Arabidopsis thaliana: one gene and its partner. The protein of the gene in region 1 purifies or fractionates together with the protein of each later gene. This does not show direct contact. Each region holds a gene or a part of one and is shown on either strand. Other genes may lie near its edges.

Region 1 (6,513 bases):
CAATAAATATTTATTGATTGAAAGATTTTAATAAGAGTTTATTTGTTGTTTAGCTTCCTTTTTACCACCTACTAGCTACTAGTGACCTTTGAATCTTATTCCAAATAAGTATGTCTCTAATCTAGTTTAAAGTCTAATCTTGTTTTTAAAGTCATTTAGTGACTTACTTTGTGTAACATTCTGGTTTAGTAGTTGGTTACTTTGGAAATTGGGTTTAGAGAAAGATACAAACTTTCTTGCACTTACTTGATTGTTGATACCAAAAACATGTTTAGGAAATTTAACCAATAACGGAATTACTAAAGATGAGCTATAAATAGGAAAAAAAAAAAAAAAAAAGGCCAGAGAGAGAGAAAGAGTTGGAGGAAGTGAAAAGGAATCTGAGATTGGTGGGGGAATGGGAAGATTGTGAAGTGTGTGTTTTGACCACAGTACAGTCAAAATCTCTGTCTGTCTCAGGGTTTTCTAATTTCTATGACCACCATCACAATCTTTTTGTCTTCATTTCATTGTCTTCAAGATTCATGACCCTTTCTATATAACACAAGTTTTTTAATTGTTGCCGTTTAGGTCCTACTGATTTGAATGATGAAGAAGATCATTTACATGCCTGTTCTTCATTTGCTTTTATAGTGAGCAGCTAACTTTGTTTTATGTGGACTCTTTCAGATCAAAGAGAGAAAGATCAACTGCAGATCCTTAAGGTACGATGTTGTTACAGGAAAATTGTTGACTGAGAAAGAAAGGGAGAGAGCTCAGGTGTGTATATGTGATTGTGAGAGGGGCCATCAGGAAAGTACCAACAGAACTGTAAAGATACAACAAAAATCGCGAGAATTGAGGATATAGCTACTCTTGATGATGAGACTTTTGAGATATCTCTTCATGAATCTTGTGCTGAATCTTCAGTATTGTCATCATCAGGTAAACCAAATATCCTGAGATTACGGTCCATTGAACCGACTGCTATGTATTTGGAGTCGAGTCCAAACTTAACACTTGTTGCTTTACCTGCACATTTATGTAGTTACAATGTCTGAATGATAGACTCAATAAAACAAGGAAGAGCAGTGACTTCAAAAGCTTAACATGTAGCATTTACCTGTACCGGACAGATCGGGAAGAGTCTTGATTGGGTTCCATTCTGCTTTTACACTAGCTGCTTGGAATACTCTACAACATTGAAGCACAAGTTTTCGATTAGTATGATTTGCAGAAGAAACGTATACATATACCCAAACTGCATTTCTGGTGATAGCAGGTTAATTGAGTTTGCACAACTATCTTTCAATATCTCGTTATCAAAGTGAGCTCCTATATCAATTAATTCCCAACATTGTGTATCAAAGTAGACCTCACCTTATATCTGAAGCAGCAATGCCAAGATAAGATCCGCTATGGTCAAACTCCACTGCACAAAAAAAGCTCATTCAGGCCTTAAGAAATGAAAACTCACTCAACAAAATAGACTAGTAAGAGTGCTCAGGTAGTTGAATACCCGAGTTTGCATCTGGAAAGTCAAAGGTTCGGAAGTTCTTTAACTTGCGCAAGTCCCACAACCTAACACCATCCAGTGCAGCAGTCTGTACAATTTAAAGAATAGTAAATATTGGTCAGTCAAAAGGAACCTGGTGCTATCCTTCTTTCTACTTAGTTTAGGTCAATCAGTCAATGTACCCACCGCAAGGAAATAACCGTTTTCAGAGAATGATATAGAGGTGATTTCTCCATTGTGTCCACCAAACTTTGCCACATTTGCCTATCAAACGACAGAGATAGAGATGAGAGTGAAGTGAGAACAAACTTACAAGTGACAACAGTTGATGAGCAAGGAAGGTCAAAGAGTTTTTACCTGACTTTTTACATCCCAAATCTTAACAATAGATTGAGCGGTACCAGTTCCAAGAATGAGACCATCAGGATGAAAAGCAGCAGCCGTGTAATTCACGTCGTTTTCGGAAGCATCTGTCACCTGAATAACAACAATAATGAGAAAGACGCATGGCAGAAACATTTATTCTAACGAGTCTAATTCACATTACAATAAAGAAGGTAAATGTTTCATTGTTATATTAGCATAAAAGAAGAAATCTGAAACTGGATAACAGGTATCAGGTGTGGATTAAAATTTTGGAGACCTGAGCAAGGCATAAACCGGAGGACAGATCATAGAAGCACCATGTACTGTCAAGTGATGCTGACACAAAGTATTTATTCGTTGCGTGGACAGTTACAGCTCGCACCTGAAAACCACATCATTGCTTTTACGTTAAACAGACCAAAAATAAATAAAACGTAAAACTGTATGAGACTGTAGCCTGTAGAAGTTCTTCAGTTACATCCTTACCTCGGCAGAATGATCTTTCAGTGTATGTCTAGAGGTATAGTTCCCATCCTCGGAACATCCCCAGATGCGGACTGTCTGCAGAGTGTTAAGAAATGAGAAGTTAATCTCTTCACTACTACTCCATAAAATCATGCAATCCTCAAAGGAGCTTGTACACATAACCTTAGCTTACCTTGTCGGATGAAGCAGTTAACACAAGATCAGTGTCACCAACGAACTTGATGCTTGTAACCTGCAAAAGGAACAATGCATGTCAAGCACAAAACTACAAAGGAAAAGTTAAAAAAGAAAATGAAATATAAAAAAAGAATACAGTAAAAGACAGACCTTCTTTGAGTGACCAGTCAGCGTTGATAAGATTTGTCCTGAAGGACGATCAAAGAGAACGGCAGTTGTATCAATTCCTCCCGTAGCGATGACATCCTGATTACCACATATAACGAGAAATTAAGAATAATACTAAATAGAGAACAGACACAGGGATTCATGGTAGTGTACAAAATCTATATACTGAAGAATAATATTGATAAGCATCCAGATGGGGATTCATGGCAGTGTACAATATAATGTAAGCGCAAAAGTAAACATGTCACTATGACGTTCAATGCAGTGACTTCTCAGGACAGAGAAAAACTACATAAAGTGATGAATGGAAAATAGAGAAGTTCTTAGGTGTCAAACCTTAGAATGTAGGATGTCCATTGAAAAAATTCCAGGTTTGTTGGTCTTGTGAAGGGGGTGGCTTGAGAGTTGGGTGAACTTCTCCAGAGCATCGACTGAAGCCAATGTTTTAGGGATCTAGAGAACCAATGAGGAGAAATTATTAAGACAGAAGAACCACTCGCAAATCTAATTGAACTCCAAAAGTGCAGATATCCATTGTATGTTACAGACAAACTATATATATATGTAATTCTCTTTTGCCTTCTATTTCCACTAATATACTGATATATGCAGTTACCTGTCTCTTTTTACGCTGCTGAGAAAGAGCAGCATTACAATCTGTGAGTTCTGTGATAACTTCAGCCGAAATTCCAAGACGCATTTTCTTTGCATTAGGCCCCTGCTCACCATCATCGATACCTATATTGCAACCAAAAACATAGTAGCTTGTTATAAGAGAAATTACCACATAGCCAACTTACATTGAGAAGCAAACGTGCAAGCATACCTCGTTTACCATTACTAAGAGCAGCATTCGATGTGGCAACTTCGGGGGCTGCAGGCAACTGCCTTTCAGCCTCTGCAAGCAATTGTCGTGATTCGTCTCTTTCTTTTTTAAGCCTAGCAATCACACGACAAGCAGCATCATGCTGCAAAGGAAAAGTGTATCCCCCATCAATCACCTTTTATCACAAGAAATAAATGGAAACATCCAGGAAAAGAAACTAGAATACATAATAGATATTTGTAATTCATGTAGTCTGATAAGGTGGTGGCAAATGCACCTAACCATAATTACCTGATACAAAGCGTGACTTAGCTCTTGCCTCGCAGTATGCAGTTGTTGTTCCAAAGCAAAATTTGATAGCATCAAACTGTCCCATTCCTACAAGCACAACAAACAGATAAACTTTTTAAGCATTTCTTTTGCCTAAAGTAAAAATAACCAGCGAACACTTTCGTCTTGCTATTAGTAACAAATGAACATATAATTCAATGTAAAGAGTAGAATGCAATCTGCTATGTTAAATAACTCAGATAGCGATGCATACCCAAATCAAGTTCATCCATTTTAACTCTATATGATCCTTAATAGACAGAGAACAAAATTCAGAAACGAAAAAGAAGGTATAGGGAATACAAAATAAGAACTTACAGTCTGAAACGTTCCAAGCAATCCAGGGATGCTAGCTGTGTGTAATGGTTTCGGCTTTACGATCTGCAAAATGGTCCCGGAGATCGAATCAGGCTTAAATAAGTTTCTACAAACAATGCTGTGTGACAAATAACTCCAGTGGTTGCATTACCTTCCCAGTTTTGATGGGAACAATGTCATCAAGAGTATGTGGCTCACCAGTAACCGGGCATTTCCCATAATCCTACAAGGTACCAAAAGCAATCTATAAATTATCACAACAAAGTCTGTATTAAGAAAATATCTGCAGCAAATAGAGAGGTGCAAGAGGCTAAACAGCTGAAAACCCTAGATAAGAGTCGAACGAGGGAGAAAAGAAAAGAACTTGCTTACGGATATATGCGTCTGGATTAGCCGCTTCTCGTAAAGCAAACCCGACTTCTTAGAAACCACAGGCTCCTCCGGAACTTCGCCGGAAACTGTAGAGGAGAAAAGACCACAGTGTTACCGACAGAAACAAAGCAAAATAAAACCCTAAATCGGTAAATAGAGAAGAAAGAGTGCCTTACTTGCACAATTCATCTTCTAAGTATAAACGAAGAAGAAGAAGTATACGCAGGACTAGAAGACTACTCGGTGAATCTTTAAATAGACTGGGCTAGGGTTTTAACTACTCCGGTCCGGCGCTACTAAACAAAATCGCAGAAGCCGGGAGGACGATGAAGACGGAAAGAGAGAGAGATGCAAAAATTGTTTAAGCTTAGGACAACAAGTTAGAGATTTCTTGTTAAACAAATGGGCCTTTTAACGAGACCTTGATTTATAACTAATTAGGCTTTTTTCTGAAGCCCATTAGTTAAACTATGTATGTTCGTTCATTCTTTCTGTCTGAGAAAAGAAACTCGAAAGTATAATTCTTACCCTTTTTTTTGTCATTCTTTTCTTTTATTTTTTCTGATTACAAATTCTTTTAAAGTATAAGGTAGGACAACGATGTACGGGCCATTCTATTTGCACGTACGATAGATGTGTTCTTTATGAACAAAAATTAGTCATAGCCGAAAAGTAGTATTCTCATAAAAAGCATATTTAGTATTCTCATTTCTCAACAATTAACATAGCCGAAAAAAGAACCTTATATGAACAAATCATTGGTCATACTATATTTTCATTTTTTATTAAAAAAAATTAGACTTCCGATTTATATAATATTGTCTGAGAGTTTGGTATTATAATATATTTGTGATAGCTCTGCAAAACTTAAATCATCTCGTTTGGAAAATGCGTGTGTGTAACACTGCACTCAAAGGCCAAAGCTTTTGCCGAAGATGCTCATATATATCTCCAAAGTATCGATTCATCAAATCAGCTTTGATCTCAAGCTGTTTCTTTTTCCTTTTGCCACCAAGTTGCTATTTTTTTCTTTCTCTTCATTCTGTTCTCGTTAAATGATTTCTTGCAACCTCATTAATTTCCAATTCTTAAACGTATGACCATGTTTATTTTATCACATACTGTATATAAGTTTAAAAAATTGCCTGAGTGGTGATATGTATTTTATATAATACATATAGTATATGTACATATTGTTAAACAATTTGAATGAAATAAAATTTTGGATAAATATCAGGAGAAAAAAAACTTAGATAGTCATGCTAATGATTTCAAATAATGCTTCATAGAGTTGGGGACCAAATAGAATGTTGATAAGTGATGTGATGATGTCCCGTTCCCAACCATGACCAAAACAAATAAACTAAAAAAAGCTAGAGGAGAACGAAAAAAAAATCGTCGTAATTACAATAGTAATTAATTAATGCGTATAGTCAATGAAAGTTGTTTTTAGAAGTTTTGAAGTGAAGGGATATTTTGAACTTAGCTGAGTAATAGTCCATGAAAGTTAGATTATTCACCTAGCTGACATTTTTTCATAGTTTGGGAATTCTTTATACGAAAAAAAAAGATAAAATAAAGGTAAGACCATGTTCGTAAAAAATTGTAGTTTCATATATGGTGTTTTTTTGTTAAAGTTTCATATATGGTGTTGATGACTATATAATCTATAAATCACATTGGTGTACCTTTATTTACGTTATCTAAGTCGATATATATTCCGATCTATAAAAGTATCTTTTCATTTGTATGATCAGTTCATTATTTGGTTATGGTTGTAAGGAAAACAACATATATAGAAAACGACAACTCGAAGCATGGTATGCTAAAACTATCACTGTAACGAATTTTTATCGAGAGAAACCATCTTGATATGAAATTTGTAGTTTCCGAATTTAACTAAGCATCACGTAACATTTTTTTTCCCCTCGAAATTTCCATAAAATAAATACATTTGACTTAGTACGATCTTTAT
Region 2 (6,309 bases), 1.9 Mb from region 1:
GATTTTCAGGTGCGAGTTAACATTCCAAATGGAGATATGGTGGGTCATACAGGTGATATTGAAGCCACGGTTGTTGCATGCGAGGCTGCTGATCTTGCTGTGAAGGTATGTTTTATAAGTTTATTGACAAGTCTTAATGATGATATGTGTGAGTGTGTGACTTAGCCCACAAATGGTTTGGTTGTTGCAGATGATTTTTGATGCAATCGAACAAGTGAAAGGAATTTATGTTGTGACTGCTGATCACGGAAACGCAGAGGACATGGTGAAGAGGGATAAATCTGGCAAGCCTGCTTTGGATAAGGAAGGGAAGCTTCAGATTCTAACCTCTCACACACTCAAGCCAGTAAGTCCATATCTGTAATCTGTGTTATTACCATAACATAAACCATTGGACCATATCTGATGGGAGATTGTAATTATTGTTTGTAGGTGCCAATTGCTATTGGAGGTCCTGGTTTGGCTCAAGGAGTGAGATTCCGTAAAGATCTGGAAACACCGGGGCTTGCAAATGTAGCTGCAACAGTGATGAACCTCCATGGATTTGTGGCTCCCTCTGACTATGAGCCCACCCTGATTGAAGTAGTGGAGTAGAAGAATTGAGAGCCTTATCAGTTTTTGAAGAGAGGGCTGAAACTCTCTAGTTATCTTTTGTTGCTTTTCTAATAATAAGAGTTTACACACAGACTACTTGTATTTTTGATTTTGGCTTTAGGCCAAAAACATTGAAATTCCATCTTGAATGATATGCAAGCTTTTTTCTTTCTCTCCCATACGATCTCTTCTAGCCAAGGATAAAATTTGCATTGAAAGAGAGGAGGATTAAACATCTTCAGATTGTACTTACATTTGGAACCAAATAGATCCTGAAGCATTCAAATTTCTTGACTCTTGCAAAGCATACAAACAGAGAATATATCATAACCTTTTTACAAAGTCATGACTCATATTAAAAAAACTTACCAATACAAAGTCAAGCTACGTCTCCTTAAAACTTGTAAGCAATACAAAACTCAAGTTTTTATGCAGAAGCTTCCATGGCTATGGCTATGTCCTCTTCCTCTCCAGTGGCTAGCTTAGCTTCTTTCAGTTTGTGAGAATCTTCAACATCCTCTTGTTTCTTCAATGCCTGTGCTCGGAAACCGACCATTATCTCCTCTGCTTTTTCAACCATTGCCAACATATTCCCATAGCGAGTCTGCAGTTTACTCTCTGTTTCCTTTTGCTTTATCACTTCCTCTTGCAAATTCTTTTTCCTAAAAGATGCAGCCATCTCTTCTTGCCTCTTCAATGCTTTAAAGCACTCTACTTCTGTTCCACCAATCTCAGCCTGCTTCAATGTCGCCTCTATTTGGGTCCACACGGTCTCTGCCCTCCTCTGTCAAATGTACAAATCCGTTAAACATTGACACCAAACAAAATATAGTTTCAGAATTAACATTTAAGGCAATGTGGACTATATGTTACCTCATGACCCTTTGTATAAGTTTTGTACTTGGCCTTCATGTGTTCTGCCTTCTTCTCATCCTCCTCCATCTTTTTTCTCACATTCTCCATCTCCTCCTGAAAAGCTGCAACTTTGTCCGCGTTCCCAGCAACACTTGAGAGCTCGTAAGCGCTTCGAGTGGGGAAATACATGAGATCATTCACGCATGTGTTGTGAGCTTCTACAAAATCATCAAGTGTCTTGTTCTCATGTCCCATTGACACACACAGAAACTTCCCCTCCTCCTTTATCATTTTGTCAGCCTACCAAAAATCATAAGCAACAACCTTCATTCAAAACTCCCTAGTGTATACCAAATTAATTACAGATGTTGATAATTAAGGAGGGATTAACATTCATGCAAAAATTATCAATCAAACAATCTAGCCTAAACCAAGAGAGAACTAAGGATTCCAGAAGCTGGCCAACGAATTAATCAACCAAAAAACAAAACAAAAGTAAACTGAAATTGGATAGATATTTTCATCTACATACCTCTTGGAGCTCATTTTCATCAAAATCGTCAATTGCAAGAACTTGAGAAGCAGAACGGTTGGTACGGTTCTTGGCTCCTTTCTTCTTCTCAGCTTTGTCATCAAGCGGATACTTTGCATTATCATGCTCCAGCAACTGTAGAAGCTCCTCTCTTACCATTTTATCTGCAACCTCAATCGGAGTAGGAGGAACAACAGAACTTTTGTCTCCATCAGCTGAAAGCAACGAGTTCCTAATTACTGCCAATGAAGCAGCTGGGGGTCTAGGAAGATCTCTCTGCAAGACCTTGGATCTCTTCTTAAGCAATGCCTGTTGTCTTGCTTCTTCCTCCGCCTTTTCCCTCGCTATCCTGTCTGACATGTCTTCCTCAATTTTCTCTTCTGGCTCTTCACTTTCCTCAGGAGGAGGTTGTGCAACTATTTGGTACTCGTTCTTTGGCTGAGGAAGCCCAGTCAAACCAGAGCGTAAACTCCTTCTAGCTTCCTCTCGTCTCTGCCTCTCAAGTTTTGCACTTTCGTGCATGTCCATGTCTTCGTTAATGTGAAGTTCATCCCTGAAGGGAGTCCCTTTGGGTGTCATAGAAAAAGAAGACCCATCCCTTGATGGCGTCAAGCCAATTCTTGGAGTAAGACCAGCACCACCAGGAGTCATTGAAGGGGTCAACATTGGATTAGGCGTTTGAATCTCCTTCTTTCTCGGAGTGACCCCAGTGAAGTCAGAAGGGTGCAACTCAGGATTTTCTCCTCCTAGCAAAGGTGTCTGAGAGTCTCTTAATCTGGCCAGGTTTTCTGCTTCCATCATAATAGCATCACCTTTACCAGCAGGAGTTCTTTGAGGTGTCCTCATGGGTGTCATTCCTTGCCTTGGTGTTTGTGAGTAATTTGCCAAAAGTGCACGAGTAGCAGCACTGCCTTCTGTTAGCTCCTCATTCTCGGCAAGAAGGTCACTGGCATAGCCCATCTTAGCAATTTCTTCTAGCTCGTGGTCTGAAATCTGCGGTGGTGGTAACATCAGCTTTGACCTCTTCCTAACAACTTCCGGATCATTCAGCTTGTTTGCTTGCAATATAGCTGCTGGAGCATCCTGTCTCTGAGCAATTTTATTCCTTGCAACATCTTGTTTGCGTAAATGTGCTTCTACATCAGCTCTTCTTTTTCCTTCAAGTTCTTCAATGGTAGTTGGAAATTTTACTTGATCAGCAGGACGATCTTCATCCGCAGTATCATAAAATCCCGCAGGTGCCCTCTTTTCAAAAGGAATTTCTGCATTATAGTCGATTCCCTTTCTCTTTCTTTTCCTATGCCTTCCATCAATCCCAGCTGCTTTTAGTTCTCTTCTTTTTTGCAGAGAAGCAAGCCTTCTAGCTTCCTCAAGTTGTTTTTCTCTAGCTTTTCTTTTAGCCTTCTTTCCCCTCGTGTTAGCCAATCTAGCTCTTGCTTCAGAAAGCATTTCTTTCTCATCTTCGTCCATGTCTACCGGATCAGGACGAGCAGGCTTTGCTTCTGGGTTCGGATCAATCTCACCAGGACGTAATTTTCGTGGATCATCCGCTGCATCATAATTTTCATCCTTAGTGCATGCTGCATCAAGGAGCTTCTCATACCTCTCAAGACATTGAGATGGTGTACGACCCACAATAGGAGCAATAGTTCTCCATTGAGTAGGCAGAAGTTTAGCAAGATGTAGAAGCTTCTCATCTTCTTCTCTGGTCCATTCAGTCTACATTAACATCACAAAATTAAACTCAGTTGTAATTCAAAAACATAAGAAAACCTTCGAATACTCCAAAACTCCTAGCATTACTGCCTACACTTTCTATGAATTTCCAGATGCAAATCAATACATATATACAACTAAAGCACCTAGTAACAAGCTAACAAACTACCTAAAAGGCCAAATCCCCAAACAAAAAAATGTTCGCCAGATCCATAGTTTTTTTTCGAACACTACTAGTTAAGAGAAGGAAAACGCGAACACGACTTACCTTTTTGATAGATGGATCGAGCCACTCGTACCAGCGAGCTTTACACTGTTTAGCAGACTTACGAACGAGAAGAGACGAGATCCGAGCCCATTGGTTCTTACCATACTTCATCACGGCGGCTTTGAGAATCTCATCTTCGGTGTTCTTCCAAACACCTCCCTTAATCATAATCCTCATCTTCGCTCAACTGTTTTTGATCCAACCGCACTCCAATTCAAGGTCTCTGAAGCTAATGCTCGTGGAACTCGGTAAGAACGAAGAACAGAAGGAAGCGAGAGAGAGAGTAACCCTAGATTAGGGTTGGAACCAACGAAGAAGAAAAGATTCAATCGTTCACTAGTCCTTTTCTTTTTATTTGTTTTTTCTTTTTAATTTCCAAAATCATAAATATCGGGATACACTTATGGGCCTAACCGACTGGGCCAATTCAATGGGCCGTTTATTTAAGTGATAAATTAATAGCAAAGGTCATTTTGCTGCGTTTTTATGTCATCTCTAGCCACTGTTGTTGTCTCTTTCCTCTGAATGCTTAGCAGCGACAGAGCTCGACGAAGCAGTAAAACCCTAGTAGAATAATGGTGAAGCTCACGGCTGATTTGATCTGGAAAAGTCCTCACTTCTTCAATGCTATCAAGGAGCGAGAATTGGATCTACGAGGTACACTTCTTCTCTTTCCCATTACATTTTCTAGGGTTTTGTAACCCTAAACGCACCTGCTCTGGTTAATCGTTCGTTTTTCTGGGTTAATTTGTTGCAGGTAACAAGATTCCTGTAATCGAAAACTTGGGTGCTACTGAGGTATTTCTTTTTTCTATCGATTTTCGTTTCCTCTTTGTCTGTTAGCTGAAGAATTTGTTGATGCGGTTGTATTGTATGTTCTTAAGTCTGCCTGTTGGGTTTCGGCATTCAAGTATTTTGAAAATCATTGACAGAAACATTGTTGAAGTAGCTATTGCTCCTTTGTCTTAGTTAGTATCTGTTTTCTAGCTCTTTAGGAGTATATGTGGCTTCGTGTAATAGTACCTTTTTCTTACTGTGGATTCTTTACTTTTGAGAGCCAGTCTTCTCTAAGAAAGGCCTCCCATAAATTTTGTGTTTGGCTTAGGTAGATTATTTGCAGGTTTGAGGTTCTCTAATTAACTTGTCTTGGTTTGCTTACAGGACCAGTTCGATACCATTGATCTGTCTGATAACGAGATAGTTAAGCTAGAAAACTTCCCATACCTCAACCGTTTAGGAACTTTACTCATCAATAACAATCGTATCACCCGGATAAATCCTAACCTTGGAGGTAACATCTATCTGTGTGTTGTAAGAAATGTCAATTCAAACACATTGTTTGCTTTGTTGGTTACCTGTGTTGTATTTATCGTATGGTTGTACATCTGCAGAATTCCTACCGAAGCTTCACTCTTTGGTTCTTACAAATAACAGGCTTGTGAATTTGGTTGAGATTGATCCCCTTGCCTCCATTCCCAAGCTGCAGTACCTTAGTTTGTTGGATAATAATATCACCAAAAAGGCAAATTATCGCCTTTATGTGATTCACAAGCTAAAATCACTTCGAGTACTGGATTTCATTAAAATCAAAGCCAAGGTAAGGACCTTATCATATGCTTTATCAACTGTTCATTTTTGCTTACCCTAGATGCCAACTTAATGTTATTTTATATGCTACAAGTCACCGGGAGCTAACCTTAATATCATCTGAAAAATAGAATATCTGAGAGCAAGAAATTGGTCTGCCTTTTGTCTTACGTTGTTTAAGATTCTTGTGCACAGTTATATCTGTATGCTGAAATAAGAAATTTCACTAATATTAACAACATTTAGCTAAAAGGGTTTGCTTAAAGTATATATAGTTTGGGTCTTGATGACTTGGTTGCCTGATTATCTTAAAGTTTTTTGTATTTAGGGCATAAATATAAACCAGACTTGATGTAGGGTGTGGTGTTTTTATTTAATTTCCTCGTGTTATAACCTTGTAGCCTTGGATCGGATAATAGTTTGGCTTTATCCTTTAGCCCACTGTTGTATATCTAAATTTTACAATGGTTATAGCAAGACCTTTTACCTGACATTATTGGTTCCTAACAGGAGAGAGCTGAAGCTGCATCTTTGTTTTCATCCAAAGAAGCAGAAGAGGAAGTTAAAAAGGTTTCTCGGGAGGAGGTTAAAAAAGTGTCAGAAACTGCAGAAAATCCAGAGACTCCGAAAGTGGTGGCGCCAACAGCGGAGCAAATATTAGCTATCAAGGTGCGAAACTGGAAATTATATAGGACCAAACATATTCACTGTTTTGTTGTCTTTATAATAAGTAGGTCAACGCTGTGTGGTTGATAGT

The links. The genes of interacting proteins can lie anywhere in the genome.
Region 2: the proteins of MAC3A (region 1) and CDC5 purify together in Arabidopsis thaliana (affinity purification with western blotting; 2 studies listed by BioGRID, with this or other methods). This does not show direct contact.

What each region holds. Positions count from the first base shown.
Region 1 is NC_003070.9:1,224,963-1,231,475, reverse strand, and holds MAC3A (MOS4-associated complex 3A), read right to left. Parts: upstream 4,994-6,513; 5' UTR 4,728-4,993; coding exon 4,715-4,727; intron 4,625-4,714; coding exon 4,539-4,624; intron 4,390-4,538; coding exon 4,318-4,389; intron 4,230-4,317; coding exon 4,167-4,229; intron 3,897-4,166; coding exon 3,810-3,896; intron 3,661-3,809; coding exon 3,519-3,660; intron 3,431-3,518; coding exon 3,309-3,430; intron 3,146-3,308; coding exon 3,029-3,145; intron 2,771-3,028; coding exon 2,675-2,770; intron 2,580-2,674; coding exon 2,520-2,579; intron 2,423-2,519; coding exon 2,348-2,422; intron 2,244-2,347; coding exon 2,139-2,243; intron 1,973-2,138; coding exon 1,853-1,972; intron 1,760-1,852; coding exon 1,682-1,759; intron 1,584-1,681; coding exon 1,499-1,583; intron 1,412-1,498; coding exon 1,360-1,411; intron 1,174-1,359; coding exon 1,103-1,173; coding exon of another isoform or gene 1,097-1,102; intron 1,012-1,096; coding exon 884-1,011; 3' UTR 529-883; downstream 1-528.
Region 2 is NC_003070.9:3,159,835-3,166,143, reverse strand, and holds CDC5 (cell division cycle 5), read right to left. Parts: upstream 4,313-6,309; 5' UTR 4,143-4,312; coding exon 3,966-4,142; intron 3,701-3,965; coding exon 1,982-3,700; intron 1,750-1,981; coding exon 1,468-1,749; intron 1,379-1,467; coding exon 1,022-1,378; 3' UTR 595-1,021; downstream 1-594. Other genes in the region: iPGAM1 (Phosphoglycerate mutase, 2,3-bisphosphoglycerate-independent), read left to right, coding at 10-105, 191-346, 433-594; U2A' (U2 small nuclear ribonucleoprotein A), read left to right, coding at 4,541-4,622, 4,723-4,763, 5,127-5,256, 5,357-5,562, 6,063-6,221. UniProt on the Arabidopsis thaliana protein: Component of the MAC complex that probably regulates defense responses through transcriptional control and thereby is essential for plant innate immunity. Possesses a sequence specific DNA sequence 'CTCAGCG' binding activity.